4 linked regions of the Arabidopsis thaliana genome follow. The protein of the gene in region 3 interacts with the protein of the main gene of each other region in a pairwise test. Each region holds a gene or a part of one and is shown on either strand. Other genes may lie near its edges. The genes, in order: AT3G11280, BLH4, WOX14 and AT3G60670.

Evidence for each region.
Region 1: the proteins of WOX14 (region 3) and AT3G11280 interact in a two-hybrid assay, tested with the Arabidopsis thaliana proteins (one large-scale study listed by BioGRID).
Region 2: the proteins of WOX14 (region 3) and BLH4 interact in a two-hybrid assay, tested with the Arabidopsis thaliana proteins (one large-scale study listed by BioGRID).
Region 4: the proteins of WOX14 (region 3) and AT3G60670 interact in a two-hybrid assay, tested with the Arabidopsis thaliana proteins (one large-scale study listed by BioGRID).

Annotation. Positions count from the first base shown.
Region 1 is NC_003074.8:3,532,245-3,537,179, forward strand, and holds AT3G11280 (Duplicated homeodomain-like superfamily protein), read right to left. Parts: upstream 2,751-4,935; 5' UTR 2,378-2,750; exon of another isoform or gene 2,152-2,377; 5' UTR 2,150-2,151; coding exon 1,746-2,149; intron 1,621-1,745; coding exon 1,233-1,620; 3' UTR 967-1,232; downstream 1-966. Other genes in the region: AT3G11290 (Myb/SANT-like DNA-binding domain protein), read right to left, coding at 3,522-4,115, 4,188-4,691, 4,767-4,935.
Region 2 is NC_003071.7:10,106,929-10,115,288, forward strand, and holds BLH4 (BEL1-like homeodomain 4), read right to left. Parts: upstream 6,078-8,360; 5' UTR 5,958-6,077; exon of another isoform or gene 5,851-5,957; 5' UTR 5,809-5,850; coding exon 4,852-5,808; intron 4,085-4,851; coding exon 3,693-4,084; intron 2,691-3,692; coding exon 2,474-2,690; intron 1,497-2,473; coding exon 1,023-1,496; 3' UTR 781-1,022; downstream 1-780. UniProt on the Arabidopsis thaliana protein: Transcription factor that establishes leaf shape by repressing growth in specific subdomains of the leaf. Negatively regulates knox homeobox gene KNAT1/BP expression.
Region 3 is NC_003070.9:7,180,894-7,185,248, reverse strand, and holds WOX14 (WUSCHEL related homeobox 14), read right to left. Parts: upstream 2,692-4,355; coding exon 2,487-2,691; exon of another isoform or gene 1,920-2,486; coding exon of another isoform or gene 1,901-1,919; coding exon 1,514-1,900; coding exon of another isoform or gene 1,497-1,513; exon of another isoform or gene 1,427-1,496; coding exon 1,383-1,426; 3' UTR 1,193-1,382; downstream 1-1,192. Other genes in the region: WOX10 (WUSCHEL related homeobox 10), read right to left, coding at 1-22, 121-516, 608-764; HMGB3 (high mobility group B3), read right to left, coding at 4,056-4,092, 4,180-4,259. UniProt on the Arabidopsis thaliana protein: Acts redundantly with WOX4 downstream of the TDR/PXY receptor kinase to regulate procambial cell proliferation and differentiation in vascular tissue, independently of any role in vascular. Involved in the regulation of gibberellin (GA) biosynthesis pathway.
Region 4 is NC_003074.8:22,423,801-22,428,865, reverse strand, and holds AT3G60670 (PLATZ transcription factor family protein), read left to right. Parts: upstream 1-2,496; 5' UTR 2,497-2,674; intron 2,675-2,791; coding exon 2,792-2,968; intron 2,969-3,074; coding exon 3,075-3,149; intron 3,150-3,328; coding exon 3,329-3,469; intron 3,470-3,826; coding exon 3,827-4,171; 3' UTR 4,172-4,430; downstream 4,431-5,065.

The sequences.
Region 1 (4,935 bases), on a different chromosome or scaffold from region 3:
AAAGATGTAACAATTGTACGTAATTTCACTTTAAATTTTGCATCCTGTTGTTCTCAAAGTTATCAGCATCGCAAATCTTAGTCATAAAATAGTGTATACTGTATAGTATATAGTAATGCACGTATGACGTAAGAACATTGAATGTTTTTTGATATTGGTACATCAGTGTAAGGCATGTAGATCCCATCGAAGCGACCAGATCGAAAGTGACAAAATAACAAAAGGGTGGCAAAAGAAATAAAGCCATAAAGTTGCAAGAAAGGAAAAACTACTTTGTTTTCTTTATCCGAAATAGGACTCGCAAATTGCAGTAGCATATGTCACAATTGATGATCAAGATTCATCTAATACATATAGAATAAGATATGGAAATCTATTAAATCCGATTTCTTTGAATATGAACTATGATAAAACTATTGCTTGATTAAGTGTAGCCTTTGGTCCAACTTTGCATATGAACTGTGATAAATAATATTTCAAAGTTGTTTCAATATAAATTTATCAAAGTTATTTCAAGTTGCATAATTCAAATGTGAGCAGTGTTTAGATTGGGGCACCAAATGATTAAAAAATAAAATAAACATTTCATTCATATATGTTTTTTATACAAATGACACCATTATACGTAATTCTAAATACGTTAATATATATATGAGTCAGGAGGTTGGTGTAATAGATGAGAAGAATGAGGTTCTTTGGTCAGAAGTGGAAAGCAGACTCAGCCTCTATTTTATACTCAAATCAATTCTTCATACCTTCCACCAAAACTTTACTCAATATTTAAAACTATACTATAGCCATCTTCTTAAATAAATCTAACCCAAAACATGTTTCACAAATTTCTCATTTTTGTGTGGTGTTTGATCTCTTTGAGTCTTTTTTTTTTTTTTAATCTCTTTAAGTCTTTATTACAGTATATCTTTATAATTTGCATTTAACACCATAAAATAGATATATTGTGGTAAATTGTTAGGGTTATCAACTTGTCATAAAGCACAAGTACTCTTTTTCACAACTATAAGTCTATAATTTAATCGAAAAGAAAACACAGATTTTTTTTAACATAACAGGTATTTAGTAGACAGAAACACAAAAATACAGAGTAAAAACAAGTTCTTACTTTTAAACCACACAATACATATATAATAAACTTGGTTTTGCTTATATTTCTCTAATTACAGTTTCAAAACTCAGATTCTTAAGAACGCTGAGTTTGGGGATTCTATGTTGCCTTAAGCTCCGGCACTGAAGACATTTTCTCCGGCGAAGTTAATGGCAGCTTCGAATGAAGTTGGTGATGGAGAAAACAGATTTTCTGAAGAGAGATTCTGACCCATAAATATTACTCCCTCCTCCGTATCATCCTTATCGATAAACCCTAAATCAGGGAGAATATCTCTATGATCGGAAAAGGAACGGTTGAGATTGGCATTGAGAAGATTGCCGGTTGTGATGTCATGGATACTTGGCCTGCGTTTGTCCTTGGCTCCGGAGAGCTGTCTCTGGTAATACTTTTGGGCGTGGCTCGCCACTTGCGTTGGCGTCTTTGACACCACGAAGTTTCTCGATATGTTTCTCCAATCTCCTTTACCGTACTTGAGAAGGCCTAACAAGAATCTCCTGCAAGGAACAAGAAACAGAGCATTGAAAACCCTAAGAAAAAAGGGGATGACTTGCGTTGCAAGGAACCTAGGAAGAGTGACTTATATGGAAAGAATTCTGTAGAGATGAAAGAGTGTCTTAACCTGTGTTCTTCCTCTGTCCAAGGGACTCCTTTCTTTCGATCTTGATCAGATCCTCTAGCTCCACTAGGCCGTTTACGACACATGTCCGTGTCAAACCCCAAGGGAGAAGAAGCTGCAGGATAACCAGGAATGGGAACACGTCCTGCTTCAATATCGAAAACGTCTTCTTCAAGCTTACTATATTGCTTCATAACATCAAAAACAGTCTTTCCAGGGATCATGGAAGCAACTTTAAACCAGCGATCAGGCGAGTCTTCAGCGTATATCGCAAGAGCTCGTTCGAACATCTTGTTCTCTTCTTTAGTCCAGCTACCGCTACTCGAGCTGTGTAAGCTCACCATCTCTTGAACAACGAACCGGTGGTCAGAGATAGGTAGGTGAGAGAATGGATGCAGAGTCTCCATACCTAAAAACAAAAAAAGGGAAGAATAAGTTTCAACTACAAACACAGCTCAAAAAAGTCCATTTTCTTGCTCTATGTGTGGAGGAAGCTTAAAAGATAGATTTGTGATATAAGGAAATAATGGAAGCTTTTATATATAAGGTTTAATGATAATATAGTAGGAATCAAAGAAGAAGAAAAACAAAAGGGAAGGAAAAATGAAGAATCGTATACTGAGGGAATCAAGAACCTGATTTGGGTAAGAGATTTGAAGCATATATAAAACCGACCCTCGAATCTGAAAAAAGACTCAAAGCTTTGAAGAATTTATGAGAATCTGCAAAAGTGAGTCGTCGAAGGAAGACAAAAACAGCAAAGCAAAGCCCACTTGAGAGATAGAGAGAGAGGAGAAGACTCAGAAGCTGAAGAAGACCCAGTAAAGAGAGAGAGATAGTGAAGGAAGAGTAATATACAGAGAGAGAAGAGTCACTGTAGATATGGGAACAGAGTGAAGAGAAAGAAAAGGAAAGGTTTCTTTATTTTTGGGAAGATTTGGCGTATTTGGATTGGAGAACAGCGAATGGCACCACTCCACTCGGATTCTTGCGGTTCATTTTTCTCAGAAAGAAAAAAAAAGTTGATTGATCTATTTGATTCTATTATTTAATTCTTTGGAATACGACAAATTTGTTCTATCGCCTTTTTTCTGGTCCACACGGAGACATACTGTATGGTTTTGTTATAAATATAATGTTTTGATAATTACAATCAAAAGCGCCTGTAGCTCAGTGGATAGAGCGTCTGTTTCCTAAGCAGAAGGTCGTAGGTTCGACCCCTACCTGGCGCGATTTATCTCTTTTTATATCTTAATTTTGTCTCCTTAAGGAGGTTGTTTAGGATTAAGTTCTTACCTGGAATTAAGTGATGATTGGTTTTAGTATCTATGCGTCGGTGGAAAATATTTTTAGAAAGTGTGACAGATTCAATAGCTAAAGCTCATTAAATCCCACTATCTCTCCATTTTACTTGTGATGCTCACATAAGTTTTAAATTACTTTCTGCAAACAGAGAAAATCAAATAAAAGTATATCGGTTGTATCAACTAATCAAACTGTACAAGGTTTTTTAACTTAAGTTAATTTTGAAGAAGAGAAGGCTACATAGAGTCATAGACGATAGGATACGAATGCTTTGAAGTTTATTTCTCATCTGCAATAGAGACAAGAGTAATTTCTTGCGACAAAAGTTAACCAGTAACTCTTATAATATTTCGACTGTCATAAAATCTTTCAAGGAACCTAATAATATAACATCTCACACTGTTCAAAAGATAAATCAAGAGTGTTTAGCATAATAAGACATAAGCAGAAGAAGTTTGGGAGAATATGACGATCTTAGGCAGCAATGGTAAGGCCACCAGATCGAAGTCTAAGCAGCCAAGACATTCTCAAACTTGAGTTCTTCAACAGCAAGAAAATCTCTCTGTACTCTTTCTTCACAAACAAATCCAACGCAAACAAGTAAAGATCACTACCTTGCTCAACCTCTTCCATGGAGTCCAAACACTCAATGCATTCCCCAATGGTATACTCGTACTGCCTAACCGATGCACTCACTGGACTCTCCTTCATCAGCTCAGTTTTTAACCTGTGGCATCCCGGAGTTACAATTTCAACATCTTGTAACCGAGACTCTGCAAAACCAACACTGTTAAATCTCCGGTGCTGCGGAGTAGGCTGCTCATCATCGTCATCATTGTCATCTTCATCAGCTCCACCTTCACTACCTGAGACTGGCTCGTTTGTGTAAAGTGTTGATAATGGAGTTGGGTCATGTAGCTGTGGTGATTCGGAATGATGATCAAGCACTCTCCTGCGATAAGAACGGAAATAGGCTTTTCCTGGTTCTATAAGTCCTTTGAAGATGGTTGCTAGTTTATCCGCGTGAGGAAGTTGTTTCCTTCTGAATGGTGCTGCTCTATGATTCTCCTGTTAATCAAAGAACCAATGTTAAGCTGCAAACTTAATCAACTAATATAAAAAGTCGAGTAGCGTTTATACCTTCAAGTAGTTTTTCCAGTCTTCATCAGTAGCACCAAATGTTCGAGAAGTTGCATCCCATTTCATGACAGGAGCACCAATCACTTGACACCAGATCTTCCACGATTTCCTGGTGCAATCCCAATGATTCTTGAGTTGCGGTCTGGTGAAGCTTTTACCGGTATTCTGATTGATAGTCTCAAGGATCATTTTCCAAGTTTCCTTTGGATAATGTGAGTCAGGTCTGTTTCCTTTTAAAGCCTCTTGGAACAACAAATCAACAAACAGCTCATGTGAAGACGGTGACCAGTATCCTTTCGACTGAGGACTCGAGAAATTAGAAGCGCTTTGCGTGTCTTCTTCATCTCCAGTATTATCATTATCTTCATCACGATGCTTGGCTATTCGCTTCCTTTTGCTACCTGAAGTACCTTCATCATCTAAGTTACTATCTTCAAAGATAAGCTCAAGTTTCTCGAGGAACGATGGAGGATTCAACCGATACTGCCCAGCCTCAGGATTCACCTGTCACAAATCCAATCATGAGTTTTATTATAGACTCAAGAAACAACCAAAATCAACACAGAAGATAAATTGTACATGTAAATAGTTGGCCCAGTCTTGATCATTAGCACCAAAAGTGTTAGTCTGAGGATCCCATTGCATATCACTGCATTGAACAAGTCTACACCAAATCTTCCACTGCTTGATCATTGTATCCCAGTGATTCTTAAGCTGGTTTCTGGTGAACCTAGCGCCAGTTCTTTGT
Region 2 (8,360 bases), on a different chromosome or scaffold from region 3:
ATTTATTAAAACATGAAATGTCAAATCATGTAAGATTTATATTGCCAATTATAGTGTCATCATACTCTCCTAATAGAGTATATAAAATACTTCGAATAGAAATTTATTAGTTGTAAGGAATTAGGTGAAACGTAGATATTATTGTTTACTAAAATAATTGAAGTGACTTTTAAGAAAACCCTTTGTAAACAATTCAAGTAATGAGTCCTATTACAAAAAGTAATGAGTAGCACCATGGCAATGAGCTTAATGTCCCTTTGTAGAACTAAAACGTCTCCGTCTCGATTGACATATCCCCCAATATGACATGTAACCAAACCTTTGGAGTTTTGGATAATTGTTTCTCAGAGAAAAAAACTAAAGAACCTAACTCAAAAGATTATTTGTTTTCTTTTTAAACAAATATGTCACGTTTTTCTTAACTATTTTACTATAAACTGAAGATAATACAATTGTTAATAAGTCGATCGGGTACGTACCAAGTATATTTTGTTGCTATTACTAAATTAAGGAGCACATAGTTGTAGTAAGTAGGGATTAGTTGAGATGATTAATTTGATATTACAAGGAAAGTGATGTGACTTATTGGCGCTTTCCTAAAAGACTGTTGTCGCTTATTAGCAAAAATCAAATGGAAGAATCCAATAAATGCTACACGAAATTTAGTTTCCAGAAAATATATGTACATAATCATAATCTAAAACAAAATTTAGAGTAATTTGGCAGGGGTATTAATATGAACAAAAAATTAGTATGAACAAAACTATACAAAAATGTAAGGATATAAGTTTCATGAATAAAATAAAAATATGTGCATAATTATATATGGAACTTTGGTAGCTAGATCTCACTTGATATATGTATATCTCTCTTCTTCTTACGACAGAAAAGACAGAAAAAAAAACTAAAGAAGAAAGGAAATTTTAAAAGTATGTGAAGAAACTAAAAACATATATCGATAAACCAAAAAAATAAAATTCACTATAATAAATTTTGATGAATAAATTGAGAAACAAAGAAGACTAAAAATCTCCAAAGTCTCTAACGGAGAAAGAAGTGTTCTTATCAGGAATATTGCCAGAGTGGCGTAGACCAAGCGTAAGAGACACGTCACCAGTCTGTTTGGTCCCGAATCTTATGACGTTCACACCATCTCCGTCGACGTGGAAGTCACTGACGTCTTGCTGACACGTGGCGACGGTGAACGCGTCTGAACCGCCGTGAGAAGCGGCGGCGACGGAAGAGAGGAATGAAGAGTCGTTTTCGTGATGTGTCGATGTCATCGTCGTTGGAGTTTGTGCGGTTATGACAGTGAAGTTGTTTTCATTGTTGTTGGGTTTCGTGTCGTTGTTGTTTGTTTGTTGCTGTCTTCTTTGTTGTTGTTGATTTTCATTTTCTTCTTCTGCTTCTTCTCTTTCTTTTGCTTCTTGTTGATACATCTCTTCCACCATTGGTTTCCATAGGCGAACCCTAGCATTTATGAACCAATTTGACACCTGAAAAAACGAGACATATGAACTAATATTAATCACAATTTACTCTTAACAAGTTTATAATATTAAAAGAAACTTAACTTTTAGAAGGAAAAAAAAACTTTTCAATGAAATGTGAAATACTCCTTTTTACATTAAATATGGTTTTGATTGTTTTTGTATATACTTCATTTGTTTTATATTAAGTAAAGTTAAAATAATAAGTCATTTACTGTGAAGAAAATTAGTTTAAACAAATGAAACAAAAAAAATAGGATAGCTAAAACCTTAAGTTAAAATGATAGGAAAGGAGTAAAAATTATGATACATGTGTTTCCTTTGAGACATCTATTAAAAAGAAGATATATATTAAATTTTTCATTATATTCTTACAAGAACAAGATAACTTTTGACATGTTTCAAGTAATTTTGATTTGATGTTAACTTATGTATTTACTGAAAGGCTTAGATGAAATTTCTAAATTAAAAATTTGAAACATAATAATGTTTTTTTATTTGAACACATGAAACATAATAATGTTAAAACAACAATTTGAAGGTTGAAATATACTAATGGATATTTGAAGCCAAGTGTAATAAACTACTTGTGATGTAAATAATTAATGTGTACAAGACTTAGAGGTCTGCTAGTTAACATTGAAATGAAAGCTTCAAACTTTCATGTACTTGAGAAATACTTACATCTCTCTCTCCTATGTTTTATATATCCTTGTGTGTGTAAGTGTAGATAATGTATTTAATGAAGAAAACGAACCCCAAGAAAAACAAATGATTCGTGATATTGAAAATCCATGCAAGAGAATAGACATGAAGCCACTCATGTCAGATTTTGCATGATGAAATGATTGATATATATGGTAAATTGTGAGTTAAGTACATATATGTAAATGAGTAATTAAAAGGGTTCTTGTATGATAAGTATGAAAACATATTATATTAAAAAAATATTGATGTATGTATCTATATAGATAAAGGCTGACCTGATTTCTGGATAAACCAGTCTGTCGTGCTAAGAGGTGCTTATCAGCATCGCTTGGGTACCTGAGAAAGAGACCAGAAAATGACTTCACAATCTTTAGAACCCTAAACCAATAATTTTTTTCTTTTCTCTTTTTTTGAATATAGATAGAGAGGAAAAACACAATCAAGTAGATGCAAGAAAAGGTACAAACTTTCTCCTTACAAGGGCGTGAGAATCTAAGGGACAAAAGAAAAAGCTGATTTCAGAATAGAAGCATTTTATTTTATTTTTGTATCTTAACTTATTTTTCATCATAAAGCAAAATATTTATCTGTACAACTCTTCTCTTCTTTACTTCACTAACAACAAAATAGTAAAATTCTGCAGACATTAAATAGAGAAAGTACTGATGAATAATGACAGAAGAAATTGCTTTTTTCAGCTTTTAGATTTTTTTTTTCCTCTTTTTGATTTCTGTCTTTCTTAAGGGACAATATACCAATGAAACTGTACCACTGACAAATCTGAGACTTATTTTTTTGTAGTTATGTTAATGGCATTGTTACTTCTTTTGATAATAGTATGTGGAATGAATTAAAGCAAATTAAAGAAAAAAAAACTATAAAGGAAAGGTTAGGCAGAGACAGAGAAACCCTTAGGATGCTATTATGATCCCAAAGCATAAAAGTTTGCGATCTCACTCTGCAAACTTCTTTTGTTGCATTAATTATTTAAACCCTTTAATTTGCCATGCAATATAACCTACATTAATATAAATATAAACATACAGTTTTCATGAAAGTCTCCTAGTCAATGAATTGTTACCCTTGTTATTTTGGAGTACTCTTAGCTGACCATTCTTATGGGTGGTATGAAAAGGAAAAAATATTTGATATTTAAATTTTTATTAGTAGTAATAAACATAAAATAATCAAACTCAGTGAAGAAACGGAACTTCATTTTACAAAAATTATTTTGGTTTTCTAAAAAAGCCAGCAGCTTTTAATTTTGATTGAAATAGAAATATATCTTCCCGCATAACAAAAGAGTTATAAAAAAAAAAATTTTTTTGTCACTTTCATAACTTAAGTTTAATAAACGTATATTAGTTAAAGTCTTGGTATCAATGCATTATGGTAGTCTACATTTTATAATGTATAGTCAACATTCAAGAAGATTAGTATTATCGAAGAATAAGAGTAGGTAAGTATTATTAAGGGATTAGAAAATGGACTTACGGATTAAGAAAATGCTCGAATAGCCAAGCTCTAAGGATATTAACGGAGCGTTCAGGCAAACCACGTTGCGGTCTCCATGCCTCTTGCTCCATCATACCCATATGATGAAACGCTCGTTGCTGACGCAAACTCTGCTCTAGCAAACGCAATCGCGGCGTTTCCCCTTTGGTTAACCCCGAGGATGCAGCCCCTGCCGCCTCTTTATCCCCTAGAAGCTCACAGCTGCGTTTAAGCTGAACCGCTACCGCGTCTTTCAAACACCGGAAATGCCTAGACATTGCCTTTTGAGCTAATGTCGTGTACGGAACCGCCGCGCCGTAACCCATTACTTGGTCGAATGAGTTCACTACCATTTGCATTTGTTCGCAGTAGTGGTTGTACCGTCGGTCCACCTACAAATTAAATTTTAAATAAATGAACTATACATAGATGAGTTCTTGTTTTTTTTTTATTAGCTCAATTTCTAAGATAAAATATAAACCTCAAGTGATTAGTTCGTTTAGATACTTCAATGTGTTATCTTCTCTTGCTAACAATTTATGCTATCTTGGAACATATACTAAATTCTTGAAAGAAGATAATGTCAACTACAAAATAAATTGTAAGATAAATAATGAAGTAACTTCAAGGACTAGTTTTGGTTACGTAGTGAAGGTGGCTAGCTTATATGGAGAAGGAAACTCTAATTTAAAATTTATGGTTGTGAAGACTAAATCACTTAATCAATCATATATTAATTTCTTATGTTAAATTTGATTAAGCGATGCCACCAAACGCGTGACACAAAATATGCATTAATATATCAAATTAGACCATATAACACCATATAATGATATTAGTTAGAAAAATTATATAAGTGATAGTAGGATTGCGTAATCAGGCTTTACCAACTAGAGCATGTGTCGTGCTCTTGTACCAGTCGGTCATTCTCTATACATTTATTTTTTTAAGAAAATAACATATATAGAGTTTATGAAAATATTGGTCGATTTAGAATTAATTATATAAGAAGAAAAAAATCACGAAGAAAAATAAAATTTTGTAGCGATTGATATGAAATTGGTTGTTTGATCAATTCAATCATTAGAACGGTTCATTAAAAGTTTGATAGAAAATTAATTAGTTTGGTTAGAGAAAAAATATTGAGTGAAAACGTTACCTCTTCAAGCATAGATAGTAGCTTGACTTTTCTTCTTTGATGTTCAATCCGATCAGCCGGAGACAAAGGAGGACTATCATTAGCTGTTCCGGCCGATGACGAGGACCCTCCGCCTCCTCCTCCACCGGTAGTATTAGGGTTTGAGTTGTTCCTACTAAGTTTGTTCTTCTTGAAATGTCCTCTTCCAACACTACAAAACTCTTCCAACAACTCTTGAGCCGGTTTCGTATATTTCGAATTCCTCAACGTGTAGATCCCTCCAATGGATGAAGAAGCCGCCATGGGAGATGATGATGATGAACCAAAATGTCCAACAACTTGATGGTGATGATGTTGAGAAGAAGAATTCTCAAGAAGAAGATTCTTGAACTGATTGAATTGATGATGATGAGCGGATGCGTTAGAAGAAGAAGAAGTTCCATCAACGGCTGCACAATAAATGCTTCTATATTCCTCGGCTTTAGCTGCGGCTAATGAAGATGAGAGAGATAAAGACAAACCCTTTCCTCCTTCCACGTGGACGGTTCCGATCATATCTCGGTTTTGATGATGATCGGAGGAGGAAGATGGCCATGTAAAGTGTTGTTGTTGCTGCGGCTGCATAGTGTTTTCGTCGGTGAAAGCAAAACCTTGATGATGATTTGGTAATAACATATGAAGAGTTGAGTTATTGTTGTTGTTGTGACGGTTTTGTTGCTCTAGCAACTGTTTAGTAGACTGATCAAGAATCTCTCCACCGGAACCGCCGCCACCTCCGCCAGGGTAAGCAAACATTTCAGACAACATTCCGGCGGTTTCATAAACCGGAATTTGAGCACCGGAGACGACGGCGGATTCATCTACTTCCTCTTGATGAGTGGTTGATGATGATCGGTGGAATCCATTAGAGAAGGAAAAGATTCCTTGGTGATGATGATAATCTTGTGACATAGAAGAAGTTGTAGTAGCTAAACCCATATCTTGTTATTCATTATATCTTTTTTCCAAAGCTCTTGGATCCTGTAAGGATTCAGACATACACAGAGAATCTTATATAACACATACAAAAAAAAAATACAAGAAAAAGAAAGAGAGAGAGAGAGAGAGGAGTCAACTAGGTATTATACAGTTTTTCTCCAATCTCTTTCTTGTAACTCTTTTAAGGTTCTCACTTTCAGCTTCGGTCATCATCTACATATATGGTATAGAGAGAGAGAGAGAGAGAGAGAGGAAGTACCTTGGAGTTGCAGAGAATTAAAGAAATGATTGATGATGAGCTTATAGCTATCGTTTTCTTCTATACCTCTCTCTCTAGCTTTCTTTTTCTTGAGTACTCTTTTTATTTTATATTTCTCTGTTAGTGAGAGTTTTTATTCAGCAAATTCTGCAAAACCAAAAACTTATAAAAAAATCTCTCCCAAAGAGAAAGGAAGAGAGAGGGAAGAGAGAAGAAGAGGTCGCTGTTCTTTCTTCATCGCCTCCCTTTTTAACCCACCAATCTTCTTTAATATTTTTTTGTTATTAAAATCTTGATTTATCATTTTTTTATAATGAAGTATTTTTATAAACATCTTCTTTTTAATTTTAATCGGCAAAGGTTTCTTCATATCAATAACGATGAGGAGGAAAGACAAAAAAAAACTATACACATCCTGAAATTACGAAATTATCCTTGTTTTTTTTTCTTGTCTTTTTTTTTTGTCAACGTTATTATTTATTTATAAGAGAAAAAAAAACTTTTTATCACGGAAATGTCGGCTGATATCAACATTTTAAAGGAGTTAATTTGGAAACTAATTTATGAAAGCAAACTAAAAAGAATAGGAAGATAAGGTGAGTCCAAAGGTCATATCTCAATGAACCAAACCACCACCATAAATACTTCCACATATTTTTGTGCTTCAATATATTCTTATTTCGAGCCAAAATAAAATAAAATAAAATATTCTTATTTGACAAATTAAATACTTATATAATATTCCTATGATGCTCTCTAATTTTATTCTTTAATATTGTGTGTATTTGTTGTTTAGGGGAGACCTATGTCATTTTAGACTACTTTTTCATGTATGTACATTTATTCAATTAACTAATCATACGATATATCAAAAATCGATCAAATTATAATATGAAACAAATGAAATACATAAAAATCGATCAAATTATAATTACATTTTGGTAACATATGTGGCTAAATCAATTATTTTAAATTTCTTTGCAGAAACCGCTATATTACATCTATCATCACGAAATCGTAAAAAAAAAAGCATTAGAGATTACCTCAAGCTTGATATGATAAAGCAAAAATCTAGCTGCAAATCGAGGTTGTTTCATTTTGTGTTAATTGATTAGGAAATATCTCATTCTGTGTTAAACGATACTCTCAACTTTCAAAATATTATTTTATATCTATATTAATTAATAAAACTTTATCACTCAAAGATTATTGAAATTTTTTTAAAATTGCTTTTTAGATTACCCATTTTAAAAAATATCCCTTTAACAATAATATTTTTAAAAATACCATTGTTTTAAAAAAAACCTTGATGTTATGACAACATGCCTGATGACTAAACCTCCAAATCATCTTTACAAAATATTTACTAAAATCCAAAGATTAATCCTCTGCACGATTTCACGGTCGGCCGATAGCCTTTCACCATCATCGATGTTTGTAATATGTAAACCATCCACACACAACTAATGCATGGAAAAAACGAAATTTTATGGTTCTGTAGTTTCACAACTACACCTTCAGCTATCTCTTTTTCTAAACCTATACTTATAAAATTAATTTCAGCCATACATTATAATGACGTTGTATAGATACAAACACAATTATTTTCTGTTAAAATTAACGTATCATTAGTCATTACATTATCCTAGGTATATTAAATATTAAAAAAAAAAAAATTTCCAAAATCGATTTGACGTGCGTATCCATCCCACAAACAGTTAGAGAGACATGTTGGATATATGCTATGTAGGTTATAAATCCACAATAGGATAAATACTAATGGAAGGCTTGAAAGCAAAAGTGAAAAGCCCACTTGTATATATATCTATGGAGACTTATGTTGGAATCTATCATGCCAGAATCAGATACCAAATCGAAAATTGTGTAGCACGCAAATTTTTGTTTGAACTATTTACTTAATCTAAATTAATGCAAGTGATTTCTCAATAAATATTATTTTTTGCTAACGGATAATTTAGAATATTTTTGTTGCCTATAAGAAATTGGACTATTTCCTAAATTCAAAACTGTTTGGTTATTTCTACCAATTCAGCTACTTCATAATTGAAACTTCGTGCTATTTTTGCCTCTCCCCACCTTATATATATCAACATAATTTAAGTGACCCCAACAACGCTTACCAAATTATTTATTGTTTTGAAAACACATTTGTTTGTGTGAGAAAATATGTGTAAGTTATTTTTACATTTCCTATATGAATCGTGATTCATGGGCAGCCAAGTAAATGATTAATATTTCATCGAACTAAATCAAAATTTAAGTTTGTAAATAA
Region 3 (4,355 bases):
CTATTCAACAAATGCTCAATCCCTGAAACCACAAAAAGTTCACCACATTTTTTCATCTCTGACTCAATTAAACCAAAATACGATGCATAGACACATAAATATCATATAGTAAGAGGTTACCTAAATCAGGACTCGGGAACAGTATATGCTCATAAGACTCAAACCCTCCAGAATCATCTCCACACCTCCCTCTCTCCTCAGTTGTTGTCACGGCCGCATCATCCGCCTGACTCGAGGTAATTGTCGTTGTCGGAGGTTGCTTTCGTTTGGACCGAGCTCGTCGGTTTTGAAACCAATGGTATACATTTTTCTCCATGATTTGTCCATGTTCAGACAGTTCCATCGTGATCTCTTTAATCCTCCGCGGATTTGGTGTTCCACTGCCTTCCTTGTAAATGTTCTCAAGAATCTGAAGTTGCGTTGTCGTAGGAGTCCATCGAGGCCGAGTCGACATTCCATGAGCGCTTGACGATGCCACCATTGGATCAAAATACTCACCTCTCATTGGATTCATTCCTATTGTATTTTCTCATAATCATTACCATACAAATTCAGTTACGTGACCCTTAAGTTTCTTCCAAATACAATTATGGAGTAGTGTACGTACCTGATGAAAGAAGAGGGACAGAAGAGAGAGAGTTGTGGAGGAAGACGAGCTGGTCGCAAAGAACGGCGTAAATGGCGATTTGCTTACGAAGAGTCTCCATTTGTTCATCCGTCATTACTCTACTACCATACCTACCGTTTAGGCTCTCTTGCTCCATCTCCTCTTTCACCACTTTGCCTTCTCCTCTCTCCTTTTTACCATATGAAGAAGACAATGTGGAAGTGAAGGTGTTATGTATTTTTCTTTTTGAGAAATCTTTAGTTATTTGTTACCGTTAACTTTAAACAATTTATGGAAAGATGTCAAACTAGGATCAATTGTCTGATTTTTTTTCTTTTTCAATTACTAGTTAATTGAGGTAATTTTGGGATTCAATTGGATAAATAATTGATATATATTCTAATTGTGTGGTCATGTAACCAATATCCGATTTTATATGATTTTTTGTGTGATAACAATAAATTTAAAAACAATGAAAAAAGCTATGGTCATGACTAGGATCGGTTATTATGGTCAATTGCTTCTACTCTTTAGTGTCATTTGAATTGAGATTTACCGGTCAAAATATCAACCGAGTTTAAGATGGCATCACTTTTCTTTCTGATGCTGAAAAAGATGTGGGCATATATATCAAGTTGAGGAACACAAAATTATAATAAAATTGAAGACTTGTTGTTAATGTCACACACAAACACACACAATTCTATTTTATGAAAACAGAGTAAAAGAAAACAGAATAGATTAGAGATCTTCTTCATCGAAGTCTATACGAATTTTAAGTCTCCATAAATTTCCCTATACTCAACAAATGCTCAATCCCTGAAACCACAAAAAAAAATGCAAACTCAAACCAAAAATAAAAAATAAACCTAACCAAATGTTTAAAAACTCAAATGATCTTTTTACCTAAGTCAGGACTTGGGAAGAGTATATGCTCATAAGACTCTAATCCCCCTGAATCTCCACAACTCCTCCTTTCCTCCGTTGTCACCGCCACATCGTCAGCCTGACCATTAGCTGTCGTCGTTTGAGGCTGCTTTCGTTTGGACCGAGCTCGCCGGTTTTGAAACCAATTGTAGACATTTGTCTCCGTGATCTGTCCATGTTCAGACAGCTCCGTCGCGATCTCTCTAATCCTCCGTCGATTCGGTGTTCCACTTCCTTCGTCGTAAATGCTCTCAAGTATCTGAAGCTGTGTTGAAGTCGGAGTCCACCGATGCCTAGTCGATATCCTATGAGAACTTGACGATGCCCCCATCGGATCAAAGTATCCGCCAACCATTGGCCTCACTCCTTTTTTACACTCAATCATTATAAAAAAATAAGTGACGTGACCCTTAAGTTTCTTCCATGTACAAAATATGTATTATCAAAACCACAAAGCACTAATAACTCAAGCTTCTTAAAAATCGGCCACGACATGATAACCCTCAAATCAGCTTACGTCTAGAGAAAATAAACATTAATAATATATTGAATTGTTCGATCTAAGCAAATCATAAACTATATTAACAAATATCTTTAGCAATGATAAATCGATATCTAAGCGGTAGGTAAACTGTCTTCGAATGTCTAAAACATTATGAAATTTGATTCAAAGTTATGCATCGAACACTGGGAAAAAAAAAGCCTTGGATTTCGTTAGTTGTATACCAAACGCAAACACAATTTTCACATTTTTACACTAAAGTCTCAATGGGTCAAGTGTATTAATGGAAACAACGTTTGCATCGCAAAAAACGCTGCGTTTAAACACTTTCGTCTTACACACTTCTTCTACCGTATACAAAGAAGCTCATCAAATGGTCTCTTGTAAAAAAATCAAATACATAGAAAAGTGATTGTTGTTAATCAGGAACAAAAACAGAGAGAAGTGTACCTGATGAGAGTGGATGGTAAGAAGAGAGGGAGTTGTGGAGGAGGACGAGTTGGTCACAAATAACGGCGTAAACGGCGATCTGCTTACGGAGAATCTCCATCTGCTCCTCAGTCATCACTCTCCCACTATACGCACCGTTTTGGATCTCTCTATCCATCTCCTCTATTTCTTTGCTTTTCTCCTTTTCCTTTTTTTTTTTTACCATATGAACAAGACAATGAGAAAGTGAATGATATATATATTCTTTTGTTTATGAATAAAGGGATCTTTAGTTTATTTGTTACCGTTAAATCAAACACTTTTTGGAAAGATGTCTTTGTTTAATGATCAATTGGACCAATTTAATTTTTACAGTTACCAGGTTTATTACATTGGTTACATATTGAAAACATTGGAGAACTATGGCCTTTCACTAGGATAGATTTTGGTCGACGGTATTCACAATTTTTTGTTAGAATTTCAACATTTTAATCGAGTTTTACGGGTCAAGATATCTACCATTTGAAATAGAAAAATGTGCTAATCCAAAATATGTATCTAAGAAGATCTTAATCCTATGTGTTGATGACATAATAAGACACCACACTAATATATAAAAACAACCTAATTAAAACCAGGTATTGTTGTTACATCCGTAGAGGAACACAAACTGTGTATCTTACTTTATGTATATAGTGGTTAGGTAAAGCCGGAAGCAAGGCTTAATCACAGCATTATATAAAATATTATCGTTGTGACTTATGACTAATGATTAAACTATTGATGGAAAAAGAAGAGCATGCTTTCTTTCTTTTTCTAAGTTGATTAAGAAGAAAATGTACGAATTTGACCAAAAAGGTTCTTTGATATAAAGATGTTGACTAAAAATTTATAACATAAGTGAGACTATTCTGCTGCTAATACGCAGATTTTCACTAAAATCTTCACTTTTGTCAAAAATGATCAAATTTTTTACTTATTTCTTAAATCAAACGAAGTAATACAATCCAAAGAGAAACTCTTAATTAAGCTGATGCAAACCATTTTTTTTTTTCAAAAGATGAAAAGAGAACCAAATGATCATGGCGTTGGTAATTTGGAAAATTCAAGTATAGCCTCAAAACAATTTTACCAACCTGTGTCTAAAGTCAAATAACTAAATAAAAAGTGAAAACATGGTTTACTCTTTGTGGAACACATTGATTAAGAGCGTGATTATGCAATAGGACTCACAACCCCAATATGATTTAAGTAAAAACATGGTTTACACTAATATTTTTTTCAGGGGTATAAATCCTCATATCAACTAGAAACAAAGAGTCTAAAGAGCATTAAAACGTAGAGGAATTAAAAACTAAATCATTCATTATATAGAGCTACAAATCTCTCATTTCACCATCTAAACATTCTACATTCACTTTTTCCATTACCCGTAGAATCAGTGGGAGATAGGTAATAGTTTACTAAAACGAAACATCAGTAAGAAAAAGAAAAAGAAAAAAAAAAAAAACCACTTTAACCACCCGAATTAACATTTTAAGAGAGGAGATAAAAACATCCGAGAGATTCCTTGCAGCCTTCTATATTACGCTACCACAACTTCAACTTCTTAATCATCGTCTTCCTCCTACATCACATGTATAACAGAGTTAATACAAAGCTTTACTGATTCATACTACAGATATTTAGATTGCAGAGGTGTAAAATAACTTACCTCTTCACTGCCATCCTCAGCATCATCCTCATCGTTAACCTCTGAAACTGACTTGTCAGATTCCTCATCTTCCTTAGGGCCTTCCTCCTGAAACCACAACACACCACCATTATTCAAGCACCCCCATTAACCAAATTACCAGTTGCTTGTATCATCATTGTTTAGAATAAACATAA
Region 4 (5,065 bases), on a different chromosome or scaffold from region 3:
AAAAAAAGATTTGATCGACAATCCTGAACAAGCCTCACGGTCGAAAACGCCATAAGACTATCAAAGGTATCTAAAAGATTTAATAGTATCAAGTAACTTTCAAAATTTGCGTTGTCAGCTTAATAAAGACCAGTATCAGTGGTTTGTGTTCAAAACCGATGAGAATAACCAGACTATGTTCGAACTGTTACCATTAAATTTATCAAATATTAATGTCTAGATGTTTTTTTGTACAAACTACTGACAATTTAAACTTCAATGATATTTATTATCACTTTTTTACTTCACCTAATCTATTTAGATATTGTATAATTGCTAAATCATATTTACAATCACCCTGAATTTATTACATTAGATTTACTTTAGTGAAATATTCATATATATAATAATATATTTAAGTTAATTTATATATAGAACAAATTTTAATGTACCTTTTCATTACATTTGATATTTTATGACCATTTGTATCATGAAGTCTCTTATATTATTGGTTAAAAAAAATAAAAAATTAGATTATAGTTTTTGATATAAATAAATAAATCTTAAAATATGTAAGTATCCTATATTTTTTAAGAGAGGAAGTAGTGAATTAGTGATGCACCTTACATTTACCGTGTTCGAGTATATGCTGAAAGTGAAAGGTTTTTAAGTTAATAATTTGTGTAACTTTTTGTAATCTGATCCCGCTAAAAAAAAAATAACATTTTACATTGATACATTTGTTTATTATATCATTCTGTCTAAATTCCACAATGACATATAGAAATAGTTATCTTTTTTATTACATTGTGGGACATAAAATCAAATACAAAGACAAAATTGAGGGTCGTATGTCACTTTCCCTTGATTTCATTTGACCGTTTGGTTACCAACGATTTCGGTTGTTAGATCAAAGTTTGTTCTTCAACGACGTCGGTTTTGACTAAATCAATAACACCAATCGTGCTGTTGTGATCAGGACCACCCCAGATGTTTTAAATTCGATTAAGGAGAAATGTGGATCAACCATAACAAACAATCGTAAGTAGCCCAAATAAAGGATAAAAGCCCCAGCCCATGTAGATATCGTAAATTGACTAAAATACCCCTGATGATCAATAGTAACTAAAAGGCTAACGAGAAAAGGGGACAGCTGGATCGAAATCGAATCGGATCAGATCAAAAGAAAGCAGTGGCGTCGCATTCTTTCTCTGCCTGAGGCTGCTGCTGCTGCTCCTCCGTACCAACTCTGATCCACCTCTCTGTCCCTCTCTCTCTCTCTCTTTCTATACATACACTCATATTCTTTTTTTTTCATTTTTAAAAATTTGTATGCAAAAATTGAGAGATTATTTTACTTATAATAATAAAATGAAAATAATAATAGGTGGTCTAGTGAGGTACGTAGGTAAGTTTAGTAGTATAAGCAATAACTAATAAATCCCATCAACTTTGCACTGGTTTTCGAGAACAGTCTACAGCTGTGACAATGGGTCTTAGGGTTCTTGGAATTTGCTCTCTATTTCTTCCTCTATTCAATGTATCAATCATATACTTCATTTAGCTATTACAATTATGTTTTCTTAATTATTAATGAAGCTTATTTTTATTTTTTTGTGTGGATGGTAATGTTTTTAATTATAAAACGGTGCTTAGCTTTAATTTGGGTATTTATTCTCACATTTTTACTGAACGAAATACACGTAGTAGTAAAAAGAGAAATTTGTTTTTAGTAGGTTATATTGGGTTTACGAAATCGCCACTTAGAAATGATCAAATGAAAAGTAGACTGTTGGGGAGAGTCTTGTCATTTAGCACTTTTTCACAGTGAACCAGACAGACCTTCTAAACAAAAACAACACATACAATTATATCATGAAGAGACGATACAGGAAAATCAAATTGGTTGTATAAAGAAATCTCGTTTTACTTTCTTTTTAAAAACCCAACTCATATTGTTATAAGAAAGAGAGTTTTTTTTTTCTGTCTAAAGAAAGAGAGATTAAAACTCTGAATTTGGCTTTAAAATTTTGATATTGACGACTGTCACATACCAGAGGACTGAATTTTTTTTAATACTATTTCTGAAGAAAATGCTTTCTTAAATTTAATTATTAATTATAATATAAAGTTCATATTCACACGGTATATAAAAAAAAGGTTTTTTCATATGACAGTAAATATAAAATTTATTATTATTGCCAAGCTGAATTCTAATAAATATACACTTCTGTTTGTCAAGTTGGAACTGTATCTGTCAATGAAAAGGTACTTAATAATGATAAATAACCCAAAATTGTTACTTTTCAACACTCATAATCGAATTCTGCTATCTAGTAGTAGTCATTACGTAGTAAGTTAGTAACGTATCTAAGTGAACCACTTCTCTAACTAATGGATAAAACTAAATGAGAGTAAATAATCAACAAAACAAATTAATTAACGAATACTAAAGATTACAACACATCATTAAGGAGAGAAAGAAGAGAAGACTCATTTGAATTTAAGCTAGTGGTCACTCTCTCCAGGCGCCGCTCTCTCTTTCCTTCTTTCTTTCTCTCTCTCTCTCTGAGAATGGTCAGTCAATTTCACCACTGAGAGAGCTCAAAATCGCCTGACCTTGACCTTACTCTCTCTATCTCTTCCCCGAGAAAACCACCTCCCAGTGTAGATAACCAGAAGAAGATAAGCCAAGGTGGGTCTTCTCAATTTTACCTTTTTAGTCCAAAAAACATGAAATTGAAACATGGGTCTTGATTCATGTATGGGTTTCGTCTTTAAAGTTTACTGTTTTTTTTTTGGTATTTTGCAGATGGAATCTGGAGAATTTCCTGCATGGCTTGAGGTTCTGTTAAAAGACAAGTTTTTCAACGCTTGTTTGGATCATGAAGATGATAAGAAGAACGAGAAGAACATATTATGTATCGATTGTTGTCTTACCATCTGTCCTCACTGTCTCTCTTCTCATACCTCTCATCGTCTTCTTCAGGTCTCTCTCTTAAAATAAACAAACTTTTTTTTAATGGTTTCAAAAATCTTCATATTTGTCGGAAGAAAAATATGAACTTGGTGTGTTTCTGGGAATCTTTACGCAGATAAGAAGATACGTGTATAGAGACGTTTTGAGGGTTGAAGATGGTTCTAAGCTAATGGATTGCTCTTTAATTCAGGTATAACTCGGTTCTGGTTGTATTTAATTATCATGATAAAACTCTTAATCCGTTTATTGTATACATTAAAAGTCCAATTTTCATTGGTTCTTGTGCCCTAAAATTTTGACAGCTTTAATTAATACTCGTTGTCTTTTTCTTTTTCTTTGTGTGTGTGTATGTGTTGATGATGATTAAAGCCATACACAACGAACAGTTCAAAAGTTGTGTTCATCAATGAACGGCCTCAGTCTCGACAATTTCGTGGTTCCGGTAACATTTGTATCACCTGTGACCGGAGTCTCCAGTCTCCTTACCTCTTCTGCTGTCTCTCCTGCAAGGTCTGCTTTTTCTTGTTCTAATTACTTAAAAGGAACATCTTTTCTTCGTTAATTAAGTTTTCATTTAAAATTCTATCACATACCCAGTCCGATTTACCACTTTTCTTCATCTGGGTCGATCTTCTTTTTTAGAAATTTCATTTTTTGATGCACGAGTACACGAAATTGTCGTCAGATAAAAAAGGAACGTTTTTATTTGTTGTCTCATTTATTTTTCAAATTCTTTCAAAATACACAATTCAATTTCTTTCTGTTTTTGTTGTTTTTCTGCTTTTTAATATAAACACGCGTGTACGATCATATTTACACGTAATTGTCGCTGAAAACACAAACACATGGTTTGTTTGTTTTATGTAGATTAGTGACGTCATAATGAGACAAAGAGGACTCTCAGGGTTTCTCCGCGTCTGCAACGTTCTTGATTTAACCGACGAAGTCACGACAACGACACCGAGTTCCACTCTCGAGCCCACCGGGTCGAACCGAACATCTTCCGAGTCAAGTGGTAACGAAGGAGAAGACATGTTCTGGTGTCAGGCGCTCGCTTGCACCGCCACTACTGAAATCGTTAGGAAGAAAAGAAGCAGCTTGTCGACGACTTGCAGGAGAGTCACGGAGGTGGTTTCAACGACTAACACGGAAGCTCCGGTGAACTTTTTAAACCGTCGGAAGAATCCGCCGCAACGCGCCCCGCTTTATTAACTCGTGACGTTTGGCGAAATTTGGTTGGTCCAAGTGGTAAGTAGAATGAATACACGTAACTACTATAGTCTTATTTTATATTGTTAATCAATATCTCTAAATAACGAATCGAATTTTAGGTTTTTTTAAGAAATGGAATTAAGAATAGTTGAAAAGATCTCTCCTGGTTTTGTCTGACTCTGATATCTGTACCGCGTAATGAGAGAACTCTATGTTATTTAATTTAAATACTTTTCGTATAATGAAACATGTTTTCGTATAATCCGTTTTATTGCTTCCCATTTTTTATAATTTTTTAAAAATACCTCTTCCTCCACGAATAGCAATTTCAGTACTATTGAGACGGCTTGATTTAACATTTACAGCGGCGAAGTAAATTCTTAAAGGATTAATATTTGTTGTCATTAAATGCATTAGACCGACCATATCTTTCTTGGCTGAGTTAAATGATACGTTTTGAAAATAAAAGAAGTAAAATGGTAGTGATGGAGAACTCTATAAGTCTAAATGTGGTCTGCAGAAAATTTATGAATGTTTCTTTCTTGTATGTATATAAAATTTAGGTCACAACTCACAAAATAGTAAACATGTTAATTAATTATTTGATATCAGTTGGTTGGTAATAAATGTGAATTTTCTTTAAAAAATGCATGCGATAAGACTGTATAGTGTGTGTTTTTGTCTTTATGCATAACGTATTTTGTGGGTTTTGCACGAACGAAAGACGACTAAAATTGGTTATTGGTTATACGAAAAAAGAAGACAAAGAGATTGGAACAGACATTATGGATAAACGTGAAATTGTGAATGTTTCTGAGGCAAATAGTCTTTTTTTTTTCTCTCCTGTTTCCCTGGACCACTTTCTTCTTCCCATTTCGTAGTGCCTCTTGATTT